4 linked regions of the Notamacropus eugenii genome follow. The protein of the gene in region 2 interacts with the protein of the main gene of each other region in a pairwise test. Links are inferred from orthologs where the notes say so. Each region holds a gene or a part of one and is shown on either strand. Other genes may lie near its edges.

Region 1 (7,808 bases), on a different chromosome or scaffold from region 2:
ACATTAGCTAAATTTCACCCCTTTCCTAGAGAACTAAGGTGGCATGGACCAGTGATAGACAGCCCTTGGATCAAAGGAGATGGAGATGAGTCAGGCCGGAGCCCCACATGACATTCAGGGCTGTGTGACAGAATGATAAATGGCACACGGCCTGGTTAACCTCTGAATTTTCAGTCTCCTCCTAAGTCAAATAGGGATAAAATGCACACTATTACTTCACAGGAATCCACAGAGGATCACAAGTCACAGTATGTAAAGTGATTGTAAAGCAATATTTAAATATCTAGAGGCACCACAGAGTGGCAGTCTTGGAGGCAGAGAGTTGGATTCAAATCTACTTCTGATGCACACAGGCTAGATAGCCATGGGCAAATTTTTCAATGCCCCATGTAACGTTTTTAAAGCTGTGAGTCACCCCAAAGTGGTCAATCTGCACCAGTGGGTGGAGTTTCCAAAAGGGGAGTTCCACACACAAATAAAATCATAGGTCAGTCAATAAACACTTATAAAATGCCCACTATGTGCCAAGCTTGCATTGTGCTAAGAGCTGGGGATACAAAGAAAGGCAGAAGTCATTCCTTGCCCTAGAGAAGCTCGGAACATGCCAATAACTGCACAAACAAGATAAATCTAGGACAAACTGAAGGTAAGCAACAAAGGGAAGGCACTGGCATCAAGGGGAGACTTTCTGAGGGTGGGATTTTAGCTGGAAAGGAGTTAGGAGGAGGAGATGAGGAAGGAGGGCAGTCCAGCCCTCCCCTTCCATGAGAATGCCCAGAGCCAAGAGATGGATTGTTCATGGAAGCGCCACGAAGAGACAGTCATTGGATTAAAGGGCCCACGTCAAGGTGTAAGGTGTAAAATGACTAGAAAGGTTGGAGAGGATCAGGTTATAAAGGACTGGTTTTATATTTGATCGTGAAGGTGAGAGGAGTCACAGAAGTTTATCATGTAGGGCAGTGACATGGTCAGACCTGAGTTTTAGGAAGATCACAGGTGAGTGGAGCAGGGATTCATGTGGGGAGATTTGAAAAAGTGAGACCAACCAGATAGATGAGATGTGAGGTGTGATGAGGGCTGTACCAGGGTGGGGGCAAGTAGTAGAGGAGACAAGGGGGAAGTATATAATACTGACAGCACTTGGCAATAGACTGGATATAGGAAATGAAAGTAAAGAGTCAAGGATGACACCTCAGATTTGAGTCAGGGTGACTAAAAAGATGGTTTCACCTTTGAGTTAGGATGAGCGAAAGGCTGGGGGGGGGGGAGGGAGATAGAGTTCTTCGCTGGACCAAAAACATGCTCACACAAATGTCACCCGGATCTACAAAACAAAGCTAGGTAGTTTTTGGTCTCATTAAAAAAAAAAAAGAACCTGTAACTTTCATTTGCCAATCATTTCTCTTTTTTTTTCATTTAATTTATATATATTTTTAGTTACATGTAGCAAAATATTTTTACATTGATTTTTTAAAATTTTGAGTTCCAAATTCTTGCCCTTCCCCTTCCTTGAGAAGGCAAGCAGTTTAATATAGATTATACATGTGCAGTCATATAAAACATTTCCATATTGCTAACTATTTTTTAAATGAAAAGAAAATTTTTCAAAAATAGTTTTTCTGATAGAAGAAATCTTAAGGTATTTTACACAAAAAGGTTACTTAAGGTTTGTAGTGTGATTTATTTCTGAGGCTCTGTTGCAATATCAATTGTCTCCACCTTTTACTAGCGTAATCCCTCTGGAATAAATTTAGCCACATCTGGAAATATTCTACTACAAAACTTGAGAAATGCTAATTACTTTCCTAAAATTCTCTGAAAAAGTGAAAAAAATTAAATAAGTTTTTATTCTTAATCCAAAATCTCCAAAGCTTCATGACCTTTTAAAAGAAAATCAACACCCTTGAACAAATATATGCAGACAATGCCTCAATTTTGGCATTTAAAAACTTAAAAACAAACAAACAAAACCTCTGTGATTCCACGGAAATGAAGAATATAGTTAAAGTCTCCACGATCAGGCCTTGGATTTTGCCTAGCCAGTTGGCATTTCACCAGCAGTAACATACCAGAGATGTTAGATAAGTAAAAGGTTGATCTGAGGCCTGTTTCTAGGGACAAAAATGTTTTGTGGTTCTGGATGTACTAAGTCATTTTTTTCCAGTGACAATACAATAGTTCTATATTTTGAATAATAGGAAAAGGCATCTGCAAAAAGAAGGTCAAAGAGGATGAAAACTTTAGGCCAAATGAAAGTGGCACAGAATTGTCTTCAACGAGACATTTCATTCCCATACTCTAGGAAATGATGAACAATGACCTTGAAAAAAAAAACCCACCTCATTGTTAGTTTGGTTTTATACTTGTATTTGGAAACAGCAACATGAAGGTAAATTTGAACACTGAAAAAGATTGACTTATGTGGACAAAAAGAAAAGTCAGGTTCAAAGAGAGAACTTAACTTTTTAACTATGTGTAGGTTTAATATTTATGAAAATCAAAGAACTTTCATTAAAACCCATAATCCTGGTCTTTGAATTACACTAGATAGTAATATCAGCTCAAGGAGGAAGCAAAACAGCTTTATAGTCAATGAAACAAGTTGTGGTTCAAATGCTGAATGCATTTCCCCTACAAAGGATGGTTCTAAATCAATCTGTTAACCAGGTGTAAAACACCCCTGGTTTTAGAAATGTTTCCTGGCCATACATGGACAACGTCTAATAATCCAGTTTCTCCTTTCTGCCATTCAGGGACCTAACAAATGTATTATTAAACAAATATTCCTCCCAAAGACCAACAGTTTCTAGCGATGGATAGTAGAGGTTTGGGGGAAAAATAAATGTTAGATGTCACACCTTGACAAGGGGCACAAACAGTTAATTGGGGAGAAGATGACAACCAAACAAGCCAAAGATTTCTTCCCCCACACCCCCAGCCCTCTTCCCTCCAACAGGATTTAAGCTTCACGGTGATACTTACATACTGTGTCTGACTCAAACGTTTGGTTTCAATAATGTGCCCAGTCTTGTCAGTAAAAACCTCCTCTTTACAACATCCCTGCTGTGTCTCCTTCCCCCAGGTGAAGGTCCTCATCACCTGCAGCCAGGCCCACAGCAACAGCACTCTAACCAATCTCTGTGCCTCATCTCTGCCCACTCCAGTCTAGCCTTCCACCAATCACAGGTCAGGCCTCATCTCCGGCCATGAACTCTGGCGGTTCCTGGCTCCTCAATCCTCTCTAAGCACTTGACAATCCAGCTACAGGAGCCTTGCTGCAATTCTTCATATGCTCCATCTCCCAACTCAGAGCCTTTGCACGGGCTGTGCCCCAGCTTGGAATGCTTCCTTCAGGACTGGCTCAAAACCCACTTGAAGCAGGAGGCCTTTTCCAGTCTTTGGTGTTACCTTTATCTACTCTGCATCGACTCCAGGATAAACCCAGATGCTTGGTTGGTTGTTGTCCTTCGTTCTCAAAGAGGACAAAAATGACATCACTATGATTAAGTCAAATTTCAGTGTGTCCTACTGCAGTTGATCAAACCAATACGAGCTCAGAATTACTACATATTAGGCACAGACAGTCCATGTCATTTGGGGTGAATACCACAAATTTGGGCATCTTACATTTCCTTTGTGCTGTCTAAACTCTGTTTTGCTCATAGAGCACAGCACCCTTTCTGATGTGGGCCCACCATGCTGAGCCGTCCTGTGCCAGTCTTTGGCATTATGTTTATCTACTCTGCATTGACTCTAGGATAAACCTAGATATTTACATATCGTCTCCAGCATTAGAAAGTGAGCCCCTAGAGGGCAGGATGGTCTTTAGCCTCTCTTGGTATCCCCCTGGGCCTCAGTAGAATAGCAGAATCTATAAGGAATTTAAGAAATGCCAGGGGCTGCGATCTGATTTTAGGTTGAATTGAACTTACACACACTCCAAGTTTTTAAAAAATCTAACGACAAAAAAAACTATAAAAGAATCACATTAACTTTGGTTTGTTAGGGGAGGGAGCTAAAGAAAAATCTTAAGAAGAGTCTACCAACAACAGTGATTCAGACCTTGCGTCCCAAACAGCTTGTGGCTCTCTGCCCTCCCTGTTGCTTCATGCTGTGGGCCCCAAGCCAGACCCAAAGAGACCTCTATCTCATCAGTAATGATACCCCCTCAGCTACTGACAAACCAAGCCAAACTCTGGCCAGCTTGGCAGTTTAGTGACAGATAAATATGGAAACCCTAACCCTAGAAGATCAATAAGGACTCTTCCCACTGCATCCACATCCTATGGTCCTGAGGCTTTCCTCTATTTGGAAGCTCACAGCCAGATTCTCTTTCTGAGAATGCCCTGGGCCTCCACTGCCTTTGCCAATAATAATCTGGAAAGAATACTGGATTGGGGCTCAGCATCCTAGCTCTGCAACTGGAACTACAGGTGTGACCCTAAGCAAGTCACTTCACCTCTCAGTTCTCCCAGCGTGTAAAAGCAAAATGTGAATTAGACAACACCCAATATCCTGGGAAGGCAGCTGGCCACACAGTGCATGGAACTCTGGACCTGGAGTCAGCAAGAACTAAATCCAAATCTGGTCTTGGTAGTTTACTAGCTGTGTGATGCTGGGAAGTTACTTCACCTCTCTCTACTTCAGTTTTCCCACCTGTAAAATGGAGATATAACAGCACAATGCGCCCAAGGTGTTTGTGAGCATGCAGCATCTGGATCGCAGTACATTCATCTAGACGTGCTCCCCCTCCCCCTACCTTCCAGCCAGAAAGTTATACTCCCTGTTGTAACCCTCAGGCACAGGATGACACTCAACCCAGTTCACATTTGCATAGGGCTTGCAAAATTTTGAGAGTTGCTTCAAAGGTAGGTGGATTTCCCAGGTTCAGGCCAGAGATTTTGTGGCTGTAGGGAATACAATAGGAGAAAATTCCATCCCCCAAGGCAGATTAGCTACCGTAGACAGTTCTCAGGGGGCACAGGGCGCTTTAGTGACTAGCCCAGAAAACAGACATTATCTGAAGAAACTGAAGTGGAAATCTTTCTCAAGCTGAGGGCCCTAGCCTCTACTATCCCTTCTCAGTGCACATAATATCAGTGTTTTACAGAGCAGGAACATGAATGGTGAAATGATTGAGGTGAGGCTCACGAATCTAGGAGCCTTAGAAGGTCATTGAGGTCCAAACCCATACATTTTCAGATGACAGTGATATGCCAAAACCAGCTCAGTTGTGCAGTGGATAAAACACTGGGCCTGGAGTCAGGAGGACCTGAGTTCAAATTCAGTCTCACACATTTACCACAGGGCAAGTCACTTGGCCCTGTTTGCCTCAGTTTCCTCATCTGTAAAATGAGCTGGAGAAGGAAGTAGCAAAGCACTCCAGTATCTTTGCCAGGAAAACTCCAAGTGGGGTCAAGAAGAGACTAATGACTAAAGAAAAACAAAGTAGTGGCAGAGGCAGGATTTAACCCATTTGACTCCAAAACCAGAAATCTTTCCAGTGATTTGCAACTAAGCAGTGTCTGGGTCTGGACCTGAGATCCTGTCATACTCCATCCAAATAAACTCAGGCCACTCAGGCACTGAACTTGGGAATCAAGAGGAGCCAGGTGGTTGCTCCGTAGAAAGAGAGGACTACCTGCCTGGGAATCGAGAGGACGAGAGTCCAAGGATCCTGGCCAAACTACAGTACTTATCTCTCTCTGGCCCTCTTTATCTCAAATATGACACCAAGAAATAGAAGCCTCTCCAGGGAATGCAAACATATATAGGCCTCTCTTCCCCGAGACACGCCCACCTCCCCCTCCCCCAAGACTTTTCCCTTACTTTGTAAATGCTTAAAAGTGGATTCATTGTTTCCACAGAGGAAAAGAAGCTCTGTAAGTGCAGAGAGGTTTCCATTTTTTGTCTTTGTATCACCAGTCAGGCCCAAAGTATCAACCATCCCAGAAGTCTTTAATCTCCCAAGGCCCCAGACAACTCTCTAAATTACAGGAGAGGGAAGATACTATGTGTATAGACATATATGTGTATGCAAATATCCAAAACACAGTAACATACAAAACAGACAAGGTGATTTTGGAGGAGGAGGCTGGAGGAGTAAGGAAAAGTCAAGACAGAACTGGCGGCCCTGGAGCAAAGTCTTAAAGGAAGAGAGTTTCTAAGAGGTGAGGAGGGAGGGCATTTTGGATGTGGAGGGTGGTCAAGGCAAAGGCACAGATGAGAAGTGGAGTAATGAGAAGGGGAGATAGTACTTAACCTGCCTGGATCTGTGTCCTTACCTACCAAATTGGGAAAGGGGGGGGAGGGGAGGATGATTAAACTTTACCCTTTCACTAGATGAGTCCCTTTGAGCTCTACATCTAAGATCCTAAGAGGGACAGAGCAGGAACCATGGAACAGGTGAAAAGGACTTCTATGTAATATGCCTGGAAAACTAGCTATGTTGGGAAGGGTTTTTAATTGCCAGAAGTTTATATTTGTTGGGTAAGCTAGTTTTCATCTCCATGAGTCTCAGTTTCCTCATCTATAAAATGAGAGGGGTGGGCTACATGGAGTCAGACCCCTTCCAGTCTTACATCTACAATCCTAAAGATGAGGTTCAGACTCTGGGAACTTCCTTGAACTCCCCCTGAATCTTCCCACTTAATCTGGCCTTTCATACTCAAATCTGTTGCCCTAGGCCTAGCCTGGCCTTCCATTGTCGGTTACCTCTCGATAGCCCCACCTACATCCCATCCAGAATTGGCTTCCAGCTGTTTCCCACCCTGGATCACAACATTAGTTACCCCAATCCCATCAAGATCCTCCTTAGACCCTCCTAGGAGACCCCTAGACCCCCTCTAGATCTTTCCCACGGACTTTCTGTATATAAATTCCATCTCGCCTCCATGAAGGCACTCAGATTCCATCCAGCTCAGACTTCGTCTAGCTGAGATTCTATCCGGCCCCCTGGTGAGTGCAAGCGTTACAAATGCTTAGGCTCCTTAAGAGGCAACCCAAGGTGGCGAATCTTTAATAAACTTTGGTTTTAAGAAGTCTGGAGTCGAACTCATTCTAGCAGGACCTGGGGGTGTGAGTACTTTCGGGCACAACACCCCAACCTTATCAGTAGGATCCTATTTATATTACCTTGACCTTGCCAAGTCCCTTCCCCTCCCCCGCCTCAGTTTCCTCATCTGTAAATGAAGGGATTATTAGACTAGGCGATCTCTACGGCCCCTTCCTGCGCTACTCCCACGATCCTATGTTAGCCTCAGTTTCCCGACCTGTAAAATGAAGGGGCTGCGCGGTGATAAGGGGGTTAGCCGCCTCAGAGGAGGCAGCAGCCACGAGGGATGCTCCCCGCCGCCAGGAAATCCCCAGGAGCGGAGAAAGGCAGAGGGAAGCCTAGACGGGGGACCCCGGGGCGGGGGTCCTGACGCCCCGCCCCACACCTGCCGCACACCTGGAGCGCCGGGCCGGCTTCCCCCTCCTGCCCCCAGGGGCCCCTCCCCCACCCCTCCCCCCGCGACCCCTCCCCCACCCCTCCTCCCGCCGCCCCTCCCCCGCGGCCCCTCCCCCTCACCTTGCCGTTCTTGGGGCTGCCGTTCAGGAACAGGGTGACCCGCCTCATCGCGCTGCCCGCGCCGGGTCCCGAGGGAGCCGCCACCCCCCCGCCTTCCCCCTCCCCCCCGCCACCCACCCGGGACTCAGAGGCAGCCCTCAGCCTGACCCGCCTCCCTGGGGGGGGGTCCTTCCGCCCCAGACCCCAACACACACACACACACCCCCGAGAGCCGTCCCCTCCCACTCTCCACACCCCA
Region 2 (7,685 bases):
GTAAGACACAATACAGTAAAAGGAAGAGACCTATGACTTCCTTGCCTTGTAAATGACAGAAATATAGGAATGTTTTTTGCAAAGCCAAGAAGAAACAGAAAAAGAAACCAACATTTAGAAGGTCAGGAAGATGGAAAAAACCAATAGAAAAAAGTGCACTTCCATATTCTTGCCAGGAGAAAGCAGAAGGGTCTGTGTGTGATGTAATGACTCCATATGTTAACAGTCTAGAGAAGAGATCAAATCTGCTCATAGCCTTTGACTTCGGCTCATCTGCAGACTCATGATAGTTGAATTCACAGTCAGTGGTTTTCCAGATCTTATAAAGAGAATCAATTGGTCTGGTGTTTGAGGGGCCAAGTTTCCTTTCATTAATCAATTAATCAATCATCAATTTTTTTTCTGTCTCCACATCTAACTTTAATCACATTTTCAGCATGTTGCCAAGAATGGAATTTTGACACTAAGCCATAAATTTATGGCTTACCTCAATGAACTTCAATCAACAATTAAAATAACTTTTTTCAAATTTTTAATTTCATGAAATCAATAACTTTATCACTTGCCCTCTGGAATTACAGATAGTCACTGCATTGATCAGTTACAAGTCTTTCAAAATTAGTTGTCTTGATTGTGTTGTAAGTAGAAATTATTCTCCAGGTTCTGATCCCTTTACTCTGTATCAGTTCATACAAATCCTCATAGGTTTCTCTGAAGCCATCCTTTTCGCCATTTCTTACAGTGCAATAGAGGGCCATCTCCAGTCATCCTGATCTATATCTCGCCTGCTGGACCCAGTGGCTCCAGAGGAGAAAGTGCGACTGGTGACTTTGCACAGTCATCCCTCACTTAATTCCAATTCACTTGCATGTCATGGCATCACCTCCCTAATTTCATGGTCCTCTTTGAGAACAAAGGACAACACAATAGAGAAAATAGTGAATGAAATAATATTTCATTAGATTCATTTGCCATAATTTTTTCAGCTATTTGCCAATTGATGGACACTCCCTTAGTTTCCAGCTTATTGCCATAATAAGAAGAGTTGCTATAGATATTTTTGTATGTATGGGTCCTCTTCCTCTTTCTTCTCATTGGAGCATAGGCCTAATATTGGCATATTATTAATAACTAATTAAATAACAGTTAATAGTATCACAAAAGGGCACGCATAGTTCAGTGACTTTGAAGCCACACATTCTGAATGGTTGGACCAAATCGTAACTCCACCAACAGTGTACCAGTGTGCTGGAATTCTCTCAGCCCTTCCAACATTGTGATTTTTCCACTTTTGGCATCTTTACCAGTCTGATAGTTGTGAGACTCAACAAGCATTTATTAAGCACCATATGCTGGGGCAATTAGGTGGAGCAGTGGATAGAGTGCTGGGCCTAGAGTCATGAAGACTCATTTTCCTTAGTTCAAATCTGGTCTCAGACACTTACTAGCTGTATGACCCTAAGTAAATCACTTGACCCTGTTTGCCTCAGTTTTCTCATCTGTAAAATGAGCTGGAGAAGGAAATGCCAAACCACTCTAGTATCTTTGCCAAGAAAACACTAAATGGGATCATGAAGACTCAGACATGATGGAAAAATGACTGAACACACATACATATATATTTACATACGTGTGTGTACACACACAGACATACAAGACACACAAACATACACGTATATATATATTTGAAAGATCAGTTGCATTTCAATATTTCTAGCTCACAAAATCCCTATGCATTGTTCCCTCTGAGAACATCAGAATTCAGTTCCTGTTCCTCTGATGATCCACATAAGGCTCTTCTGCTACCAAACCGAGAATATTGGACTGCTTTTATTTAAATCAATCAAAAATGTAGAACAGATTTATGTTTAATGTTTAAAAAGTTCAAGAGACATAATTTCTGGGTAATTGGTCATTTTACTAATAACGCTAGCATTTTAATAAAAGAGGTCAATGTCACTCTTGAATGTCAAAGATCCTCATGGGGAGCAGGCTCCTGACTTATGTGCCCTTGGAAAAGTGGGTGTTCTAGAGTGTGGCAGTCAACTCTGGTTAGCAATTAATGAGAGAATGAATATTAAAATGAGAAGTGGGCTCACTCCAATGAGAGGCTGAGAGTGACATCATGTCACTTTTGGACAAAGAGAGATCCAGACTATCCCTAGCTTTGGGCACTCTAATGAAAGAATTTATCCCCATCCAAACCTGAGTAGAATACAATGGGCTTCCCCACTTTAGATTAAATTCCTTGTAAGGTTGGGCTGGTCTGATCAAAATTGAGGAGAGTTAATTCGATCTATTTTCAACAATGAGTTCAATCAAAAGACTGAACTTTGAAATGAGTACTATACAAAAGGGGAACTCTGAATCTTCCCAGTCATTGGTTGTTAATAATTTCTCTCAGTACTGAAGTCCTTCAACTATCATGAAAACTCATGTACCATTTTTGGACATCAAACTATCTATCTGGTCTCTTTGATTTTCCCTCCGAACCTAAAGAGCAGTAACTATGCCTTGGGCAAATTTAGGTGAAAGGTGATGATGTTGCGGTTTGGGTTGCTGGGAACCCTGAAGTGCAGGGTGCATGGGGTCTGCCTTGAAAGAATTCTACCACTCAAGCCTTCTTTCAGTCAAAAGTATGGAGGTTTATTTGGAATTCCGAGATTCTAAGAATCTGCTGTTTGATGGTGATAAAACAGATATTAATATATAACACACTGACACTTATAAGACAGTGAGAAGATCTAGATGGGATTAATGAGTGGTAAATAGCCTAGGATGGCTTAGAGGCAACAGAGACGGAGTCTAGATGGGATTACGGAGCAGTAAATAGTTTGAGGTTGGCCAGGTGCAGAGAATGAAAGGATTTAAATGATCAGAAAGCCACAGTGAAAGGGGCAGTTAAAAGGATTATTAAGTATCTAGATGAACTGGGCTGGGCCTGATGCCTCAAGCAAAATGCCAGGGACTGGGAAAAGTGTGGGAAAATTCAAGGACTGCTTTCAAAGAAATAGTCATTTCCTTTTAGCGGTCCAGGTCCCATCACTCCATCAGTGAGAAGTACCAGAGGAAAATCTGGGACAAAGGTCTAGTCACCCTATTCGAGTTACACTTCCACGCCCACAGGGTTCGTGCCACAGAGTTATTCCTTCATGGATGGGGTTCCCTCCTCCCTCAATCCTTCCTCCCCTTGATGACTAAGCAGAAACTGCGACCTCTGGGTCTCTTTTGGGGGAGGGGGATAGCAGAGAGGCTGGACAACTCCATCTTCTCTCCCACCTCTCTCTCTGGTCAAGGTTCTGTCTCTCCTTCCACAAGTACCTAGGATGCCAGTCCTGAGCCCTCACTGGTGTCTTGGAGAGGCGACATGGATATGTGAGCCTCTCTCTGGCTGAACACCCCTCTGTATCTCTGTGTCTGTGCCTCTCATCTATTTGTCTGCATAACCTGTGCCTAGGCCAGGCCCTCTTAGTTCTTCGGAATTATCCTCCACCTCTGTTTAAAGCCCTGGGGTGAGGATGCTTCATGGAAAAAGAGAGCTAAGGGATCCCACCTCATCCACTTTCCCCTCCGGGATGTCACATGCTTACAGTGGACAAGAAGGCATGTGACAAAATAAAGGAAATGAAATCTGGATAACTAAACACTGCCACTTAGATTGGCTGCCTCAGTTTCCCTTTCATGATCCTTGAAAACAGGACCTCTGCTTTGGACTCCTGCTTTTGTAAGACTGAGACTGAGACTGGAAAAATCTCCGTACTTCAGTTGTGTAACAAAGGAGTTTGAATTTTGCCATAGACAATAGGGAGTCACAGAACCTTCTAGATCAGAGATGGGGAACCTTTGACCTCTAGGCCTAGAGTCTTCGGTGCCACCTTTTGACTGAGTCCAAGTTTTACAGAACAAATCCTTTTATTAACTGTGAAGTTTGGATTGAGTCAAAGGGCTGCACTTGAAGACCTAGATGGCCACGTGTGGCCTCGAGGCTACAGGTTCCCCACCTCTGTTTTAGAGCAAGGGAGTAACATAATATCCTTTTCACAAATCCTATTGTTATCTTTCTGTGTTCATATCACCTTCACTTCTGAATGTATCACTCCATCCCCATCCCAGCAAACCATCCATTGTTGCAAAGAATGAAAAAGAAAGAGGAGAAAAAAGTGAGCCAAAGTAACCTATCCCCCTGACTCTTGACTGTGTGAGGGCAGGACTGTCTCTGGTTCCTGTTTCTGTGGCAGGCAGTGTAAAGAAGGCGGGGTGGGAGGGAAGGAGGGCAGGAAAGAGGAGAGCTTGGAAGGGGAGAGGTCCTGAGATGGAGGGAGACTCCACCCGGGAGAGGGAAGGTTGGAAGGCCTTGTTTGGGACCTGGGAGCCCAGCTGAGGAGAAAAGAGGGCGAAGTCCTGGGCAGGAGGGCGGCGGAGGAAGAGGGGATAGTAGGGATCTTGGCGGGGGGAGGGGGGGACACAGGGAGGCAAAGGACAGTGCCTGAAGGGAGGGCTAGGTTTCCCAGGGGTGGATCTAGGGGTGGTGCAGGCTCTGGAGGCTGGGGAGGGAGAGGATCCCCAGTGAGAGGGTGGGGGCGGGCCACGGAACCCCATTGGCCAAGGGCGGGTCCTCCCCTCTCTGGGTTTCATTAAAGTCTGAGCTCGAGTGCCCGGCCAGTGACTGAGAGGAGCCATGGCCCACTACACGCTTTTGGACAACTCTCTGGCTGTGATCCGCTTCCGGAACCCTCCTTTGAACACCTTTAGGTAGGTGAGAGGGAGGGGGCGCGACGCTGCAGCTACGGCCGCGACTGTCCGCCCGCCTGCCTGCTCGCCCGCAGAGCCCTGAGCCCCTAACCCCGAACTGGCAAATCGGGAACTGGCAGAGCTGGGAGGGAGCTCAGGGCTCAGCCCCTCCGCGTTCTAGATTCCTGCAGGACGTTCTTAAAGGATCTTAGACAGCACTTCCCGCCCCTCTTAGAGCTGGGAGGGATTTGGAAAGCCTAACCCAGGACTGTCGCGGGAGATCCTCCGGGTTCCTGCCAGCCTTTCCTGATGTGTGATCTGTGCTTGGAAATCAGCTAGACATTAAGCAAACACACCACAAGCGTTTATCAAGTGCCTACTAACTATGGGTCCGGGCTCTGGGCGTACTAAGATGAAAACCTGTTTGTCCCTTGACCAAGGAGCTTCTAGGATCATCGATTTAGAACTCAGACGGATTTTAGAAGACATGAGTTCAAATTTATTTTTCAGGAGAGGAAGCTGAGGCTCCCAATGGTTAGGTATTAAGAGAAGAGGAAGGACTTGAACCCCAAATCTCTACTCACTATTTCACTAGCATGATATGAACTGGAGGGGACTTGTGGAACCTCCTCTAAGCTGGAGTCTGTAAACTTCAAAAAGTATATATTTTGATGCATAGTTTATCTTGTGCATTAAAACACTTTATTCTGGGAGGTGATCTATAGGCCTTTCTAGGCTCCCAAAGGGGACCATGACATAAAATTTTATAAGATATGATTCTTTGCTATAGTGACTTGGTATTTTTATTTTTTCAATGACCTTCTACTTCTGCCACGCCCCATCACCAGAGACGTCGTCTAAATCCAGCCTGGAAGGGGAGTGGTCAGATTAGGGTTACAGAGCATCCTTAGACTTTGTCCAGTCCAGACTCCAGTTGCATTTCCACAATGTGATTTCAGATGTTATGTCTGAAGCCATTTGTTTTTTTTGTTTTAGGAATTATGTACTTTCAGCTGGAAGGAAGAGATTCTGGACACCAAATTGAAGTAGAAGGGATTTAGATGTCATCAGCCACAAATATTCAATCAATGAGCACTGATTTACTTTTTCAAGGTGACAGGCCAGTGATAAGCTCTAGGGTTACAAAGAAAAGGCACAAACAGTCCCTGCCTTCAGGGAACTCCCAGTCTAATGGAGGAGACAACATGAAAAAGAACTAGATACTTTATAAGGAAGGTTTGTATAGAGTTGTTCATTAGTTAAAGTCATGTCCAACTCTTCTTGACCCCATTTGGGATTTTCTTGACAAAAATACTGGAGTAGTTTGCCACTGAGGTAAACAAGGTTAAGTGACTTGCTTAAGGTCACACAACTAGCAAGTGTCTAAGACCAGATTTGAACTCAGGAAGTGAATCTTCCTGACTGCAAACCCAGCACTCTTATCTACTATACCACCCAGCTGCCCACATATAGAATAGATGGAAAGTAATCTGAGAAGGAAGGCACTGGGTGATAAGGGTGCCAGGAAAAGCCTCCTGCAGAAGGTGAGACTTGAAGGAAGCTAGGAGGCAGAGAGATGAGAAGGGAGGGCATGCTTAGCATGGGGTGTGTGTGCTCATCCTTTGTTGCTGAAGAAGACCATGCCATCAGAGAAATAATGACATGACTTGCCCTTGACTTTGTTTTGAGTGAGGGAGGGCTGTGCAGATCACCAGCCTCACTTCTCCAGAGCCATCTGAATCTAGTGACCAGATATTCATCAAGATGACTGGAAATGACCTAGGATGAGGCAATTGGGGTTTAGTGACTTGCCCAAGATCACGCAGCTACTGAGTATCAAGTGTCTGAGGTGACATTTGAATTCAGATCCTCCTGACTCCTGCACTGGTGCTCTATGCACTACACCACCTAGGGTGCCCCTTAGCATGGGGTACAACCAGTGCAAAGGCCTGAGATAGAAGTCCAACTCCAACAAAAAGGGCCTGAGACATTCTTTTTCCAGTCAGAGCTATAGGTTAGAGGTCATCTTGCGTCTCAGCATCCAGTGCCTTAGCAACCTGCACCAAAGCATTCCTCTTTCTCCTAGGAGTCTCATCTATAAAACCACTGCTCTCCACCCCTCCTGTAGCTCCAAGAGATCTCCAGGGCCTCAGAATTCCCTTCCTGCTCTAGCTTCACCATCCCAAGATCTTTCTCCTACAATTCCCTCAATTTTACAGGCAAGGGGATCCAGTCCTTCAACTGCAAACCTGTATTCCTCCTACTACGTTCAGTTTCCTTTCCCAGTCGTTATCATATATTATATATTTAGAGCTGGGACGTATTTTAGAAGTAATCTAATCTAATGCCCTCACTTTGCAGATAGGGAAACTGAGGCCCAAAGAGGCAGAATGACTTTGAAACACCATTTTCTTCAGGCTTTTTTCAAGAGAAGCCCCAGCCTGGAAGCCAGCCTTATCTTACTTGGCCTATGAAAGTAATCTCCTGCTTGGTCGTTAGGGAAAATACTAAAGGAAGGATTCTCTTCCAGCCTCCTTTACTGCTGAAGTTGAAGTGGACACTGGTCAGGGAAATGAAAATTATTCTTTTCCTAAAGCAGCTTAACCCAAAGACTTTGGGGCTTTATTGAACTAGAGTTCTAATCCCTGGAACCAACTGAAAGCTGATTAGATGTGGCCTTCTTTGATGAGTTAGCTTACTGTGCAGTTTTGTCTACTTTTATTTGATAAGCAGGGAACTTCTTTGTGAATGCCGTTTGACCCTGGCTTTTGCAAGACCTTGAAAGGAAGAAAAAGTGCTTTGAGTTGAGCAGAAAGGGAGCCTGCCTATTTAATCATCCAGACCATTTTTCTTGGAGATGTTTGAAAGATTGATAAAGTAATGTAGGTACAGTCCTTTAATCTGGCTGAAAAAAAAGAGGGGAAGGTGATGGATGGGACTTTGAAGAAGCAGCC
Region 3 (6,842 bases), on a different chromosome or scaffold from region 2:
ACTCAAGTAACTCAATGCAAATTGTGTATGAAATAATATAATTTCAATGGGAATGTGCTAACATGCCAAGATATCAGAAAAAGTCTCTTTTAAGAGGCAACACATGAGCTGTGTTGTACAGGAAGACAAGGACTCTAAGAGAAAGAGGTATGAAGATGTGGGGGAACCACTTGTGCAAATACAGAGGTAGAAAGAACAAGCTAACAGGTCAATTTGAATGGAATAGTGGACATACAAGGAGAACAATATGAAAAGAGATTGAATAATCAAAGACCAAGATAGGATACAGACTTGCTATATAATCATACAAGGCCTTCCTTGCCCTTACTAGGCATTTAATGAACATTAGAAAAAACTGAGAGTGTAGTCCTTTATTCCTCTGGGGCCTCTGCTCATTTCCATGTAGGGAAAGGTCCTGGTCCCTTGGTCAAGTGGCCAAACCAGGTCCTGTTAGCCTCATCTTGTGCCTGTATCTCTAGCTCTTCATACATACTCTTTACTCACCAACTTCCATGGTGGAGTGGGGGTGGGGTAAGAAGCCATCTGGGCAAAGACTATTAACAATGAACAAAGGCTTCTGGTTCTTGGTTTAAAAAAAAAATTCTCCCCCCACAACACAGACAGCAGGCTCAGAGATGAAAATCATAAGGAAAACTTTATTCACACATAAAACTGCAATATATTGACTACATGTATACATTAAGGTTCATGTCCCTAGTTAGGGTTTTTGGCCACTCATCCCCACAATTACTGGCTTTGTCTGGCCACCTGCTTTGAAGGAAGCATGGGGCCTGGGAATAAATATCCTGAAGGCTGATCCAGGACAGCAGTGACAACTCTCAGGCAAAATTGCCTCTCGTCCTCTCTCTGTTTTCCTCTTCCCCATGATTCCTTCTGCCTGGAAGGCAATGAAACGTGCAGAGCATTACTAACCCCTACCCCAAGTGGCTGGGCTGTTGTAATTACCCCTTTTCTTTAGGACATGTTAGATGAAACACCCAGAGAACAGTGAATACCCATGAGGTACTGGGGAGCTAAGTTGTTCTCACATGCCTGAAATAGCAAGAGAAGGGAAATGCTGCAGCTATGAAAAACAAAGATACTTTATTAACAGATTCCCTCTCAAGGAAGACACCTGCAGACCTACAAAAGGGAGTGTAAGGCAAGCCCCAGGCTTTAGCCCATGGTCCCAGTTCAGCTGTCCTTGCCCATAGTATTCTTCTGGTCCTGGGCTGCGGCCTTGCTTAGATTCCCTGCTTCTCGCTTCAAGACGTTGAGTAGCGTCTGAGAACTTTCCAGAATCTGTGACCAGAAAAAAATGAAACAGTTTAAGCTTGCACATCTTGGAAAGATGCAGCTTTTTGGGTACTAAGGGGCCCTCTCTCTCCATCACTACTTACCTTTTATTGTACTCTCTACATATTGTATATATGCTCCTTCATCTTCAAATAAGTCAAGGATCTGGACTGTGCCATTTTTATATTTGTAAGACCATAGTTTGAGTTGTGAGGGACCTAAGAGATCATCTAGTCCAACTCCCTCATTTTACATTTAAGGAAACTGAGGCCCAGGGAAATTAAGGGACTTGTTCAATGTAGCAAGTAGTAGAAGTAGAACATTGAACTACACCCTCCACCTTCAAATGCAATTCTCTTTCCATCACACCTGGTGTCTCCTGGTACCTCTAGTTCAGCTTGCAGCCTCAAGGCCACATATGGTGCTCTAGGTCCTCAAGTGCGGCCCTCTGAACTGAATCCCAAACTCTAAGGGGATTTGTTCTGTAAAGTTTGGAGTCAGAGGGCCATACTTGAGGACCTAGAGAGATGAAGGTTTCCCACTCCTGCTCGTGTCTAGCATAGCACCTAGTACACAGTGTTGGCTTGGGGGGGGGTGGGGCAGCACAAGAAGGATAAAGGTGCGGACTTCATTTGGGGTGGGGAATGTCTGGCAGCTCTACCCTTAAAAAATTGAAAATTCAGATCTCTGGTGGGCACTCTCGATGGACTTGTTGACGTTGGGGTCCAGTGCTCTCATTTTAACGATAAGGCCCCTGAACCTGGGGGAGGTTAAGCGAGTTGCCCAGGGTCCCACAACCAGTTAAATGTCTGAGGTAGGCTTGGACTCCATGACTTCAGGGCTGCAAATCCAGCCTTCTGTCTGCTCTCTGGAACAAACCACCCTGCGTTCGCAAGGCTACACCTCCCCTCTGCCGACCCCGAGGTGTTTAGCACCAACACATGGATTTGGAGCACCGCCTCATCTCGGGGAGGGGTGCCCAGTGAGCTTGGGGTCTCCACGGGTTAAGTACCCTCCTGAGCGGCGGGAATGGGGGCTGGGGGGGGGGGGCAGGGTCCGGCTCCGGCGCGCCGGCCCACCTGCCCCCGGGGGGAGGCCCACCTTGAGGTAAGCGGCCTCGGTCTCGGCAATGGTGCGGTCAAACTCGTTCCGGGAGGCGATCTTCCGGGCCAGGTTCTCGTTGACCCGTGCCAGCTTCTCCGTCAGCTGCCGCACTTCGCCCTGGAGCCGCTGCTTCTCATCCTCCTCCTGCTGGATCTGCCGGCACAGCTCCTCCCGCTTCTGGCACAGCTCCTCGATGCCTGGGGGAGGCGAGAGAGGCTGGTGGGGGCCCGGGCGGGGAGCGGGGGCGGGGTTCGGGGCCGCACAGGGGGGGAGGGGCGGGGGGTGGCTCGGGGGGCCGGGATGGCTCGGGGTCGGGGTTCCGCCGCCGCCTGCGGCCCTCACACTTGACCAGCTCGTTGTTGTAGTTCTGAAGCGCCGCTCCCTGCTGGCTCATCCTCCCCGCGCTCCCGCCACCGGCAGCCTCCTACTCCAGCTCCAACCGCCTCTACCGCATCACTGCGCCTGCTCGGATACCGCTCTCCCGCCCTCCTTTGCGCGCCAATGGGCCCGTGAGCTCATCAGGTCGCGCCGCGTCGGCTCAGGGGAGTCATTGCGTGACGTCTGACGTCACCACGACGCGCGCCAGGGCTGACATCCGAGCCGCTGCGGCTGCGGGAGCCGGAGCGGGGTCTGGGCCTGTCAGCGCAAATGGCGACGGTGGCGGCCATGGTAGAGGGTGCAGCCTGCGGGGCCCCGGGGGCGGAGCTGTCAGTGGCCTGGAGTACCGTGAGCACCGGGCTGGTGCCGCCCGCCGCCCTGGGGCTGGTGAGGGCCACACTCCGGCGGGCGGGCTCGTCCCTCCCGGCGCATCTCCGCCTCCTCTCGGCCGCATCCTTGCCCTCGGCCCCTTCTCTTCCTTCAGCCCCGCCCCCGCCCCGCTCAGCCCCCTGTCCTCATGCCCATCTCCCTCTCCGCTCCTCCTGCCCCTCATCCCCACTCAGCCCCACGCCTCCTCTCAGACCCCAACTGGTCTCTCAGGCTCCAGCTCTTATTTTTCGTCCGCTCTCCTCCTGTCCTGACTCTTCTCCCTCCTCTGGCTGACCTTTAGAGCTGCTTTCCTCCTTGTTTTAGAGATGCTCTGTTTCTGACCCCTCTTGGTCCACTTCTTACGAGTTCTGTGCTCTTTAGGCAGCTTCCAGGCCACCCGGAGCAGTGAGTTTGAAAGAAGAGGAGCTTCAGGCTGCTGTGGAGGTGCTGAAGTGCTATGAGCTGCACTCGATCCTGGAGGAGTGGTTCACCGAGGTGCTTCAGACTGACCTGCAGTCCAACATCGCCCCCGAGTTTTGGAATGCCATTGCTCAATATGAGAACACCGCGGAAGAGCCCCAGTGCGTCCTGCTCCTCCTGGAAGCCTTTGGCTTGCTCAAGTGTCGACTGGACCCCTACCTCAACAGCTTGGATTTACTGGAGAAGTGGACGCAGATGGGCTTGTTGCTGGGGACTGGCTCTCAGGGTCTGCGGGAAAAAGTCTATACTATGTTTAGAGCCATCTTGTTCTTCTCCACCACGAAAACCTTTCAGGAGATGATCCAGCAGTTCTATGCGCGTACCTTTAAAATCTACATGCATCAGCAGAAGAAAAAGAAAGTGGATGAAGGAATGAGCGAAAGTGGCATGAGTGAGCCAGAGTTGGACCAAGGTGACTTGGAAGACAGTGGGTCTCCAGAGGGCCAGGAGTGTGCCGGCTGCAACAGTGCTAAGGAGCTGTGCTGGTGCTCAGTGGCTCTGGAACAATTCCAGCAGCTTAGTGAGATACTGTAAGTGACTGCTACTTGTAACTTTTGTGGCGTTGGGCATATCTCTCTGCTTCTTTTGGTTTCGGGGATCTCCTCTGTAAAATAAAGGAATCAGATTTAATTATCTCTCAGGTTCCATCTAGCTCCATATCTTATTAACCTATAAAAAAGTGTCCCCTAGCCTAGTCACTTTCCCTGGGATCAGGCAGGGTTTAACAAAGCTGTAGTAGAGGAAACCTTTTAATTCTGGGTAGTGGAAGAGGATCTTAGGACATCTAAATAACCTATTTCCCTCACTCCTAATTGCAGGGAATGTCAGAGTGTGTGAGGTGCTATATCATTAGCAGAAAATAGTGTTTATTTGTTGGAATAATGAATTCACACCTTTAGGCATTGATTATCATGTTTTCATCTCTTCACCCATTCCTAGACTTTAGTTATACTCAGTGGAGAGTAAGTCAGAAAAGAGATTTGTCTTGTGTTCCCCATCATTGCATAGCTTCCAGGTGAATGATTCATGACTGCTTATTAACAGCACTGTAGATATAATACATATTATGGTTAGGGGTTGGACTAGATGACCCTTGAGGTTCCCTGTTTTGTATTCTGGAGCAGATTAGCTCATGGCTTTTTTTTTATGTCCAAAATTACTAGCATTCTCTAGAAGTACTTAAGGACCATCAAAGAGTTTGAGGGAAAGAATTTTGCTTTTCAGCAATATGTTAAGAGATGTTTTGCTAAAATGACTAAGATTTCTGGTTTGACGTTTGGGGTTCCCATTGATTTTCATGGATTAGATTTTATTTTGATGTAATCCAAATGGTTATCCCAGTTCTTTTGTACTGGAATTTTGTATATTCAAAAATTCTTTAAATAAATGTGCCCCAGAGTAAACTTTGAAGTTTTTTGGTTTACAGATTTTTACTATAGTGATACTAGTTATGCCCAAAATGAGTCTTTAAGTATGGTTCTCTGAGGGACCCCCTTTTGAACCACACAAGGTAGGAAGGGCAGGATACACACACACACAAAGTATGTGGTTAATTGTTTTTAAGGATGCATTTGTCATTACAGTTTAGATCTACATTAAAAATCACAAAAGTTAATCATTTTTAAGTTACCACAGTAGTGTCCATTTACCCAGGCAGAATTTTTACAAATTTTTTCAGTGGCAAAAAAGAGCAAGTGGGATAGTTGTCTTATCCAGAAGTACCTTTGCATCCATTGGAGCCATGTTTACTTGTCTGTTGGCTGATCTGTGTGGACACCTGCTGGTCAGACCTGTGCTACTTCACCAGTTAGAGCTAAGAAATTTTGTAATCTTGGCAGATTTTCCAATCCTTTATTGCCCTTGAGGGCAAGTCCCTCAGCAGAAGTAGATCACCTCTTCTGTGCCTCTATCTCTACTTTTAGCAACTCCTGACCTACTATTTGCCTAGGAACTCCCACTGTAGTGGTCTTCTTGGACTTTGCCCCTAGGATCTTCCATTCAACAAAATTTGAGCTCTTTTTCAATTAATGCTCTCAGAGTTCCATTCTTTGGGGGTACTGAGGAACTATGGGAACTTTGTTTCCCAGATTCAACTTTTCCAGATTCAACATTTATTTTAACAGTGAGCTTTCTATAAATAATGTGATATACACTTAAGTGGTGTATCTAATGGTATGAATTTTTTATTGGAGGATGAAGGTGGCTTAAATATTTTGGGATGGGGAGAAAACTCTTACAGCATAGAGGGGCTAGCGACTTAATCTTTCTGGATTTAGGTTCAGGTCCTGTTTGAGGACCATAACTCCTTATTTGTGGTTTCATACTTTGTACCTTCTGAATCGCCTTCCCTCTCATCCCTTGCTTCAGCTAATTCTTCACATGGCTTGGGATAAGATTTTTGAACACTGGCTTCCCTTCAGGCACAGGCTAAATTTGCTGGAGAGAGTCAGTGCTGATGCTGTTACAACTATCCTCCACCGAATGATTGAGGAAAGGATGGAACGTCGATGTCGGGGAGAATATGAAAGGTCTTTCCTGAATGAATTTCAGGAGGTAAGCTCTCTTTGTGACTTTGCATTCTTGATTCTTGCTTAAGGGAGTACAATTTTAACAAGTAGAAGAGAGTTAGTTAAAAAATGAACCAGAATCTAAATTTAGAGTGGTACAATACACAGATAACCTTTTTTATTTACACTGTAGTTGAACAGGTTTATGTGGGTTTTTGTTGTTGTACCTTTATGGTTCTTGCCCAGGCTTGCATTATTAGCTGTGGTCTAGGTTTCATATAGGCTCTTGTGAGTGTAGTGTTGTTAATCGTTCAGTAACTTAAACATTTATAAATGTTGAACTAGGCACCCTGTTAAGTGCTGAGGATACAAAGAATGCAAAAACATAATTTCTACCATCAAGGAGCTCACATGCAAACAATTATGCATATGCAGTGTACATAAGTAGTGTAAATGGGAAGTAATTTCAAAGGGAAGATGTTAGGAGTCAGAAGAAGATTGGATGTGAACTGAATCCTCAAGAAGGCCACAAGGCAGAGGAAGAGGGAGAACTTTGCAGGCATGAGGGACAGCCAATAAAATGAATGGGGTTGGTATACAGAGTGTTATGTTTGAGGAACAGCTAGGAGGCCAATATTAATGTACCATAGAATATGAGGAAGAGAGTAAATAGTAGTAAGACTGGAGAGGTAGGAAGGTACCAGGATA
Region 4 (8,155 bases), on a different chromosome or scaffold from region 2:
AAATAATACTGAAGACCAGTAACGACTACCTTCACAGAATTTCCAGACAGACTTAAAATGCCATTCTACTAAAGTCCCTGCTTCTGGCATTTAGAAACACAAGACAAGAATAAATTTCCAACATCTGCACATACCTTCAAAATTACCTCTGTACTCAGTTTCTCAGTTATAGAACCATGTGGGAGTTTAAAAGTAGAATACTTTTTATAGCAACTAGTTCAGAGAAATCTAAAGAGTCCTTCAGGTTAACATACAAGCTAGCACAGGCAGCCACTGCATCTTGGGGTGGGGGGGAATGTTTTTATATTTATAACAATAGGAACTGGCTTGTGATTTCATTGGTATAAGGAACTCCCAGGTGTGGACACTCCCTCCCCTCATGAAGTTCAGTCCCTTCTCTGTACCTTAGTGTCAGAGAGCTATCGTGGCACAAGGCTAGGTGAAGGGACATCCACGTGGCAGTGACAGCTCTCGAGCCAAAGTCCTTCTGGCTGTGAGACCTGCTGACCATCCACTCACTACTATGCTGCCCCACAGAAAGCATGCTTCAAAGCTTACAAACATGACCTTGGGATCTTGGCCATAGCCTCGAAAGGCAGGCAGGTACACTGGTAGCATCACCTGCATTTTTACTGAGGCTCCAAGAGTTGAGGTGACCCTGAGTCACACCCTAGAGCTATGGGACATGGGTCTGGAGTCCTTGCAGTCTCTCCTGGTTCCAAGCCACAGGGGAGCTGTTAGACAGTACTGTGAAGATGGCACTATTCTTAAAATCTTTTTTCTTTAGCCATTCATCACCACAGTGCAGTCTAGCAGAACAGGCTAGTTCCAGCATCACTAACTTGATGGGTGAGAGGAAATTAATTCCCAGCACTGAGGCACCTCTATTTCTCTGATGATAAAATAGGAATACAACCTTTCCTCCCCGCTGCACATGGATATTAGGGGAATACATTTTGGAAACAGGATGATTTCCTTCCTTTTCAGTTCTGTATATGAAAATGATGATTAAATGGTTGGGGGGAGGGGAGTGAGTAAGAAGTTTGTTTCTGTTTTTAAGTACCATATCATCTTTATCATCTTTCCATGTAGTACATAACTTCACTACATGAAATTTCTGTAATACGCTGAAGGCCTGAGTTAAGAGAGGGACCACAGAGCTCTCTAGCTAACAGACCAGGAGTAAGGGACTGCAGCGCTGCCTCTGTTTTCCCCATCCGGGCTCTTCTAAGGGGCTGCAAGGTCCCCCAGAGGGACCTCCAGATGGTAGCCTCATCAGAATTGGGGGGGCCCCACTAGCCCAAAGTATATACTGTTCAGGAAGACTGCTATGGCAAAAGTGGTTCCACAAAAGAAGTCCGAAGCCAAGCAAACCCTAAGTGTGAAAAATCCAGATAAAAGAAGATGATGACTGTCCTCCCCAGATTCCTTTAAATTGCAAGTTCTTGTACAATTACAATGTGATTATATTTACACAAAACTTCGCAGAAGCAGTACCTAGTACTGGTTGGTGCCCAATCGTGGATGCCTTGGTCTTACTGCATAATACAAATACCTGTATGGATTATTAGCTAGCCCAAGAACAATTTTCTCAGCTATGCTAAAAGGAACAAGGCCTTCTCCCCAAATAAAAGGCTGCTTTCCTTTAGCTATACACTCATTCATTCATTCATTCATTTAAAACACCCAGCCTTTACTTCTTGATAACCTACTGCTCACTGGGTTTTTTTTCTATTTTGGGCATTTGTGATAGAAAATTAGTATCTCTGAAAAAGGGAAGATCAATAAGGGCAGCCATGAGGCACTTAATTAATGTTTCATGACACCATGAAGCCTCGCTGGCAATAGGCGGTCCAAGCCTACTTGCTGCATTAGTGACTACACAAAATGCTGGACAGAGTTCTCATCCCCACCCTTAATCCAGCTCAGGGCTGCCTAGCTTGTCACCCCAATCTTAAGGAGAATGCAGTCTTTTAAACCACTCAGAACTTCTCTCAAGGCTCTCACCGAGGTGCCAACAGAGATCAGCACCCAGGAGGGTGGGTCTCTTCATCCTGCGAGACTCTGGGTCCAGGGGCACCACAGATCCTCCACCAGGATCTAGCACCCCCCTGAAGGCCCTCCCCTGGGCCCCTGCCTTTTGTGGGCACCGGTGCTGCCCTGGGGCCACCCTGGGGGGGCCCCACTCTCACCATACAAAGTTCTACACCCCCAAGATCATGGACATCCTACATAAAGGGCAGCTGGCACCGATGCCAGCCACAACGACTGTCCTGCCATGGCCCGGGGGCCAGCGGGGCTCGGACCCGGGCTGCCGGCCTCCCTCGGGGCCCCGCTCCTCGTGTCCGTGCCCAGCTCCCTGCCTCATTTTCCATCCTCTGGTACCCAGAATGTTAAAGAAGACGCGCAAGTGCTGGATAAAAGGCCGGCGGCCGGCCGGCCGGACGTCTGCACGTCTGGTCAGGATGCACAGCGTCCTGAGGGAGAGATCCGGACCGGCCACGGCCCGGGGAGCCTCGGGGCCTCGGACCGGACCGGCTGCGGCACCGGCCGCCGGGTCCCACGGCCCGGCCCGCCCAGGCCGGGATGGGGGGGACCCGCCCCGCATCCCGCCCCGCATCCCGCCCCGCATCCCGCCCCCCCCGCCGGCCGACCCCCGCCTGCTCCGGGGCGCTCCCCCCCGGGGGTCTCCTGCCCCCGCTCCTCCACAAGCCCCCTCCTCTGGGGAGCTCGCCTGCCGGGGAATCTCCTTCCCCCCCCGCCCCTCGACGTGCCCCCCCGGGGTCTCCTGCCCCCCGCTCCTGCCGGGGTCTCCCCGGCACGTCCCTGCACGCCTCCAGGGGAGGGGGCGCATCCTCGTGGCCCCCCGCTGAGGGGCCCCTCCCCTGAGCCCAGACCCCCTCCAACTTTCCTGGGGGGAGGGCAGGGGTCCTCCGAGGCCCCCCTGCTTGCCCAGGTCGTAGGAGGGGGGTCCCCAGCCCCCTGCCGCACTCACCGCCGCAGTCGAGGCCAGGCCGGGCCGGGGCGGGAGGGAGGCGGGCCGGGCCGGGCCGGGCCGGGGACACAGCGCCGCCGCTCCCGCTCCCGCCGCTCCCGCCGCTCCCGCTGCTCCCGCCGCCGCCGCCGCCGCCGCCGCCTCCAGCCGAGCGAGCTGCCGCCGAGCGAGCGCGGGCGCGGGGTTCGCGGGGGCGCGCGGGCGCGGCACGGGCAGGGCGGGCGCGCTCCCGCGGGGGCGGCGAGGCTCAGCCGGGCCTGACGGGAGCGCGCGGGCGAGAGCGAGCGGGAGGGCGGGGAGGAGCGGCGGCCGCCTGCGCTCGGCTGCCCCCTGGCGGATCCTGGCGGCGCCGCAGCCCTCCCCGCCGCCGCCGCTCCCCTCCTCCAGCACCAGACCCAGGAGCCGGGAGCCAGCCCGGCTGGGAGACAGCGGTGGGGGCGGGGCCTGGAACTGGCCGTGGGAGCTCCCTGTGTGTGTGTGTACATGTGTGTGTGTGTGTGTACATGTGTGTGTACATGTGTGTACTGTGCACGCGTGTGTGTGTGCAGGGGGTGCGGGTGTGTGTGCAGGGGGTGCGGGTGTGTGTGCAGGGGGTGCGCGTGCGGGTGTGTGTGCAGGGGGTGCGGGTGTGTGTGCAGGGGGTGCGCGTGCGGGTGTGTGTGCAGGGGGTGCGCGTGTGAACGGGGGTATCCGGGTAGGCTCATCCCCGTGCTGCAGCAGCCCCCCTCCGCCTCCTGCCCCCGCACTGCCCAGCGCACGCACCCCCACTCACGCCGCAGGCTCCCCGCACCCCGCGTTCCTGGCCCTTCTCCCCAAGCCCCAGGCGGGCGGGGGCCGCGCTGCCCAGTGGTCAGGATCGCAGCTCTCGCCAACGGGCTGCGATGGAGCCTCGGGCGGCACCCGCTAGTGCAGGGCTCAGCCGAGTGGGAGAAGACCACCGACCCCGAGTCCCAGCCTGCCCGCCCTCCGTAGGACCTTGGCGGAGTCACTGCCGCGCTCCAAAGAGCGCTCGGGACTGGGCAGCCTGTAATCTAGGGCTCTATACCGTCGGGGGAACCTCTCTATCCCCACCCACCGACCCCTGCCAGAGGGTGCCCTCCAGCCCGGCATAGAGCCTCAGCCCCAGGGGAGCCTCAGCCCCTGCTTGACGGGTTGACCTGGGGTTACACCTTAGAGGTTTAGCCCGAGCCCAGATGTGACAGCTGAGCAGACTGCCAAGAGGAGGCCCCAGGAAGCCCCTGCCTCCCGCGGGGGCGGGGGGGGGGGGGGTTCCCGGGCTCCCAACAGCAGCACTTATAATGGCATTTCAGCTGCATTAATAGGTAGAGTATGTAGAAGGCTGAACCAGGTCTGCAAGACCTGAGATCAAATCCTGCCTCGGACAACAGCTGGCTTTGTGACCCTGGGCTGGCAGCTCACGAAACTTTGCTTGACTCAGTTTCCTTATCTGTAAAATGGGGCTAATAAGAGCACCTACCTCCCAGGGTAGTGGTGAGGACCTTATGAGATAACGTCTGTCAAGTGCTTCGGTAAGCTGGTCGCGCTGAACTAATGTAATTGGTTATGATTCTGGGCAAGGCCGGCCCAGAAGCTCTTTTTTCTCAGAAGATGCCCGCAGTACCAAATGCTCCCACCTCCTCACTGGCAGACGGCTAGATCTTCTCTAATAAATACCCAGAATATGGGGGAGAAGCTGTGCCCGGGCCTCCTCTCTTGGTCAGAAATGCTTAAAATATTCTGTAACACTCATTTCAGTTCAACAATCTCATGCCCCCAGACTTAACCCTCTCAGCTCTGAAATTCCCACCATCAAAGTTTACTTCATGGAGTGAAGAAATAAGGAGAAATGATTCATTGGATAGAAGCCAGTATATTCATGCACCAGGCTATGTCCAGGCGGACCCCAGAAAGGTTTCCAGTCCACCCCACCAACCCTTGCTGCCCTGCCTCCACCCACCTCCCAGCTCTGAAAATCTACCCATTTGTCCTCACTCCTGAAAAGGACCCATCAGTCTCTTCCCCCTAGACTCCCATCCTCATCCCTGTGCCTTCCCAAAGTCCACCCTGGTTTCCCCTCCTCCTGTGGCTTCCTCCCTCCCTATTGGAAGAGCAGGCCCCCTGCTATTTGTACCCTCAGCCCTGAGCAAAGGCTTAGCGGGTCCTGCTAAGAGATAAGGAAGGGACTCGTGATGTTACTGATGGAGAATGGCTCCCACTACCATGGCAGGTTGAGGTAAGTCGACAAGCATGTGTAAGTCACCTACTATGTGCCAGGCACTGTGCTAAGTATTGGGCATACAAAGAAAGGGCAAAAGATAGTCCTCCAAGAGCTCACAGTCTTAATGGGGGAAGAAACCTGTAAATAAATGTGCACAAACTATGTGTATGTGTATACATACATACAAAAACACATGCACACAGATGTATAGGTGTTGAGTAAATAAGCAGTTACTGGGGAAATCCAGAATCTTTTCCTTTTTCCTATTTCAAAGTCCAGACTTTCAAAGAGACCTCTGACCTTGCCCCAAAAATTATACCTCTAGACCATCTTCTTTAGGTGGAAATGTTGCCCCACCCAACTAGAAAACCTTACAAAGAAAGTGGAATCTGGGTGAAATCCAGATTATTGTGTTCCTCCGGCAGGTCTGTGTGATCAGTCATGTCCCCCAGCCCCTCATTAGAATAGGTCCACCTCTCATTATCATGTTCATTATTGTTAACCAATCAGAGTTGATTGCTGCCTGCCAGGAACACCCATTCTTCCAAAGGCATATAAGTGTCCAGAAGCCACCAGAGGTCTTTGGCATTCAAGAGTGCCACTCACCCCTTTTATTAATTATCTACTAGCAATAATTAATAAAATGAGCAATTACCCAGAAACTATGTCTTTAGAATTTTTTATATATCACAGTATGTATTCATGCACACAAATATCCATAGGTGTGCATGCATGCACACAAATATACACTTGTATACATATGTACACAAGTATGTGCATGCACACAAATATAGACTTGTGTGTATTCATGCAAGTATATATACATGCATAATTATATGCATTGCAAATAGCCATTTGTGCATATACATGCCTACACGTATACATGCATTCATGGGTACATATGCATAAGAGCACATTGGTGACATTCACTGCATGGATGTCAATGGAGCATGCTGGCTGCCTATGAGCTCTCCCTCATGGGTAACCAACCCAGCCATTGTAAATGTCACCAATTTCACCGATGACGTCCTTTACAGAAGACTCTCCTTCCTGATTATACTATCCAGCCATGCTCACTGCCACCATGGACCTTTTTATCACCCTGTGGGTGAACTTTGCCTACATTTCTCCAGAGACTGTAATCGTTTCTTTTGGCCTAGAAAGCACAGTGAAAAAAATCAGAGAAAACAACTTGGTCTCCCGGGCAGAAGAAAGAAGCTTCCTACTAATTCAAGACAGAGAAGAACAGGTTATTCAGGGAGAGACTGAGCCCTCCCTCCCTGCAGATCTACAAGCAAAGGCTGGCAGATTACTTGGAAGCTATGTTGAGGTCATTCTCTTTCAAGCACAACGAGACTATGTGGCCCCTTGGGTCCTTCCTGACCCTGACACTCTGAGGTCCACAGGACATCCCTTCAAGCACCCGAGGTCAATAATCATGTGAGCGCTATTTCTGCTCCTCTCCAGACTAAACATTCCCAGTTTTTCCAATGTATTCTCATGTGATAAGGACTCGAGACCCATCACAGTCCTAATTTGGACACCCTTTGGTGTCAGTTTCATTAGAATCCTTCCTAAACTGTGGTGTCCAGAAATGAACACAATATTCCCAATGGTGTCTGACCAGGGCAGAGAACAGTGATTTCCTTATTCCTGGAAGCAATGACATAGATCCAAGGTTGTTAGAGTGTGGTGCGGTGACCCCTAACCCTTTCAGGAGGCCAGAGATTCTACTTCTGGAGGAGTCAGAAGGATGTGTAGTGCAAGGGCCATGTAGAGACTTGAACATGCTTAGTCACTCTGTGACTGGTTCTGGTCTGCTAACCACATGATTAGGAAGAATCTTTCCAATTGGCCTCATAGCTAGGACTAAGGAAATCTTCAAAAAGGCCTGAGTCAGCTTTGGTCCAAGCTCTTCACCTCATCCCCTTTAGTTGAACTCCTTGGATCATGATGAGAGACAGGTTCTGCTATAAGCAGAGGAGAGACCTTGGGTCTTTTAGTCAAAGTCACATGGTTCTGAGAACAGGCTTCAGTCCTTGGCTTATGCATTTGGTCCGTTCCTTCTCAGGTGAAGGGATTAGAGCCTGGAACCTTGTCGGCATCACATGATCTAGACTGGAGCATCTGAGCTTCCCACAATCTGAGTCTTGTAGCCAGCTCAGCATCCATACTCAGAGGAGTCAACTTGGGGAGTGACCTTCAGGACTGAGCCCCAAAACAGCTAAAATGCAGAATTTTCTGGCAGTCATGCCGTACTTGGACATGGAATGTTATGTAGAAACTGTGCTAAGATTAAGCCCCCTCTTCCCAGAGACCAAAGGGAATATGTATATATGTGTGTGTGCATATATGTATATAGCTACGTAAGTATATATAAAATTGTCCCCTGAGGTATTGGGAGGAAGTGTTTCTACTTTGTTTCTTTTGTGACTTTTGAACTCAATATCCCTTTGTAAAAGTTCATTGCTATCAAGTGAGAAAATGGAATTGAGACACCAGTGGGGGCTCAAGTTAATAACGTTAGGGAAGAGATACCTGTAAAATCTTTACAGTTACCCCTAGAGCCCTGAAGGAGTAATGTAACTGAATGGGTGAGCCCAGAGGACACACACACACACTTTATACAAGGCTTGCAAAGCACTTGGCCTGTGTCATCTCATTTAGTCCTCTCTACATCCCTGTGAGGCAGATGTTATTGTTGTCCTTATTTTACAAATGGGATTCACAAAGAGGTTAAGTGACTTGGCCATTGTCACAAAGCTAGTCAATGTCTGTGGCAGGATTTGAATCCGGTCTTCTTAACTTTCATTTCTGTGTTCATGGTTCTATCTGCTGTGTTCCCTGGACTCTTAATGAAGGGTTCGACCTGGCTGTATCTTGCCCATCCACATTTCATGGACTACAAGACAAGAAGGAACCTTTTATTCTCACAGTAGATA

Evidence for each region.
Region 1: the proteins of EHHADH (region 2) and KCTD9 interact in binary tests that used the Homo sapiens proteins (3 or more experiments, as listed by UniProt). The two-hybrid records come from large-scale screens. The link is inferred for Notamacropus eugenii from reciprocal best matches to the Homo sapiens genes EHHADH and KCTD9.
Region 3: the proteins of EHHADH (region 2) and SSNA1 interact in binary tests that used the Homo sapiens proteins (3 or more experiments, as listed by UniProt). The two-hybrid records come from large-scale screens. The link is inferred for Notamacropus eugenii from reciprocal best matches to the Homo sapiens genes EHHADH and SSNA1.
Region 4: the proteins of EHHADH (region 2) and KCTD6 interact in binary tests that used the Homo sapiens proteins (3 or more experiments, as listed by UniProt). The two-hybrid records come from large-scale screens. The link is inferred for Notamacropus eugenii from reciprocal best matches to the Homo sapiens genes EHHADH and KCTD6.

What each region holds. Positions count from the first base shown.
Region 1 is NC_092872.1:743,223,957-743,231,764, forward strand, and holds the start of KCTD9 (BTB/POZ domain-containing protein KCTD9), read right to left. Parts: upstream 3,170-7,808; 5' UTR 3,097-3,169; coding exon 2,983-3,096; intron 1-2,982. UniProt on the Homo sapiens protein: Substrate-specific adapter of a BCR (BTB-CUL3-RBX1) E3 ubiquitin-protein ligase complex, which mediates the ubiquitination of target proteins, leading to their degradation by the proteasome.
Region 2 is NC_092873.1:56,193,501-56,201,185, forward strand, and holds the start of EHHADH (peroxisomal bifunctional enzyme), read left to right. Parts: upstream 1-4,605; 5' UTR 4,606-4,678; coding exon 4,679-4,752; intron 4,753-7,685. UniProt on the Homo sapiens protein: Peroxisomal trifunctional enzyme possessing 2-enoyl-CoA hydratase, 3-hydroxyacyl-CoA dehydrogenase, and delta 3, delta 2-enoyl-CoA isomerase activities. Catalyzes two of the four reactions of the long chain fatty acids peroxisomal beta-oxidation pathway.
Region 3 is NC_092872.1:494,225,889-494,232,730, forward strand, and holds SSNA1 (microtubule nucleation factor SSNA1), read right to left. Parts: upstream 2,892-6,842; 5' UTR 2,795-2,891; coding exon 2,743-2,794; intron 2,598-2,742; coding exon 2,398-2,597; intron 1,303-2,397; coding exon 1,209-1,302; coding exon of another isoform or gene 1,195-1,208; exon of another isoform or gene 899-1,194; coding exon 840-898; 3' UTR 637-839; downstream 1-636. Other genes in the region: ANAPC2 (anaphase-promoting complex subunit 2), read left to right, coding at 3,049-3,165, 3,529-4,157, 6,048-6,180. UniProt on the Homo sapiens protein: Microtubule-binding protein which stabilizes dynamic microtubules by slowing growth and shrinkage at both plus and minus ends and serves as a sensor of microtubule damage, protecting microtubules from the microtubule-severing enzyme SPAST.
Region 4 is NC_092874.1:466,814,788-466,822,942, forward strand, and holds the start of KCTD6 (BTB/POZ domain-containing protein KCTD6), read right to left. Parts: upstream 3,111-8,155; 5' UTR 2,996-3,110; intron 1-2,995. UniProt on the Homo sapiens protein: Probable substrate-specific adapter of a BCR (BTB-CUL3-RBX1) E3 ubiquitin-protein ligase complex mediating the ubiquitination and subsequent proteasomal degradation of target proteins.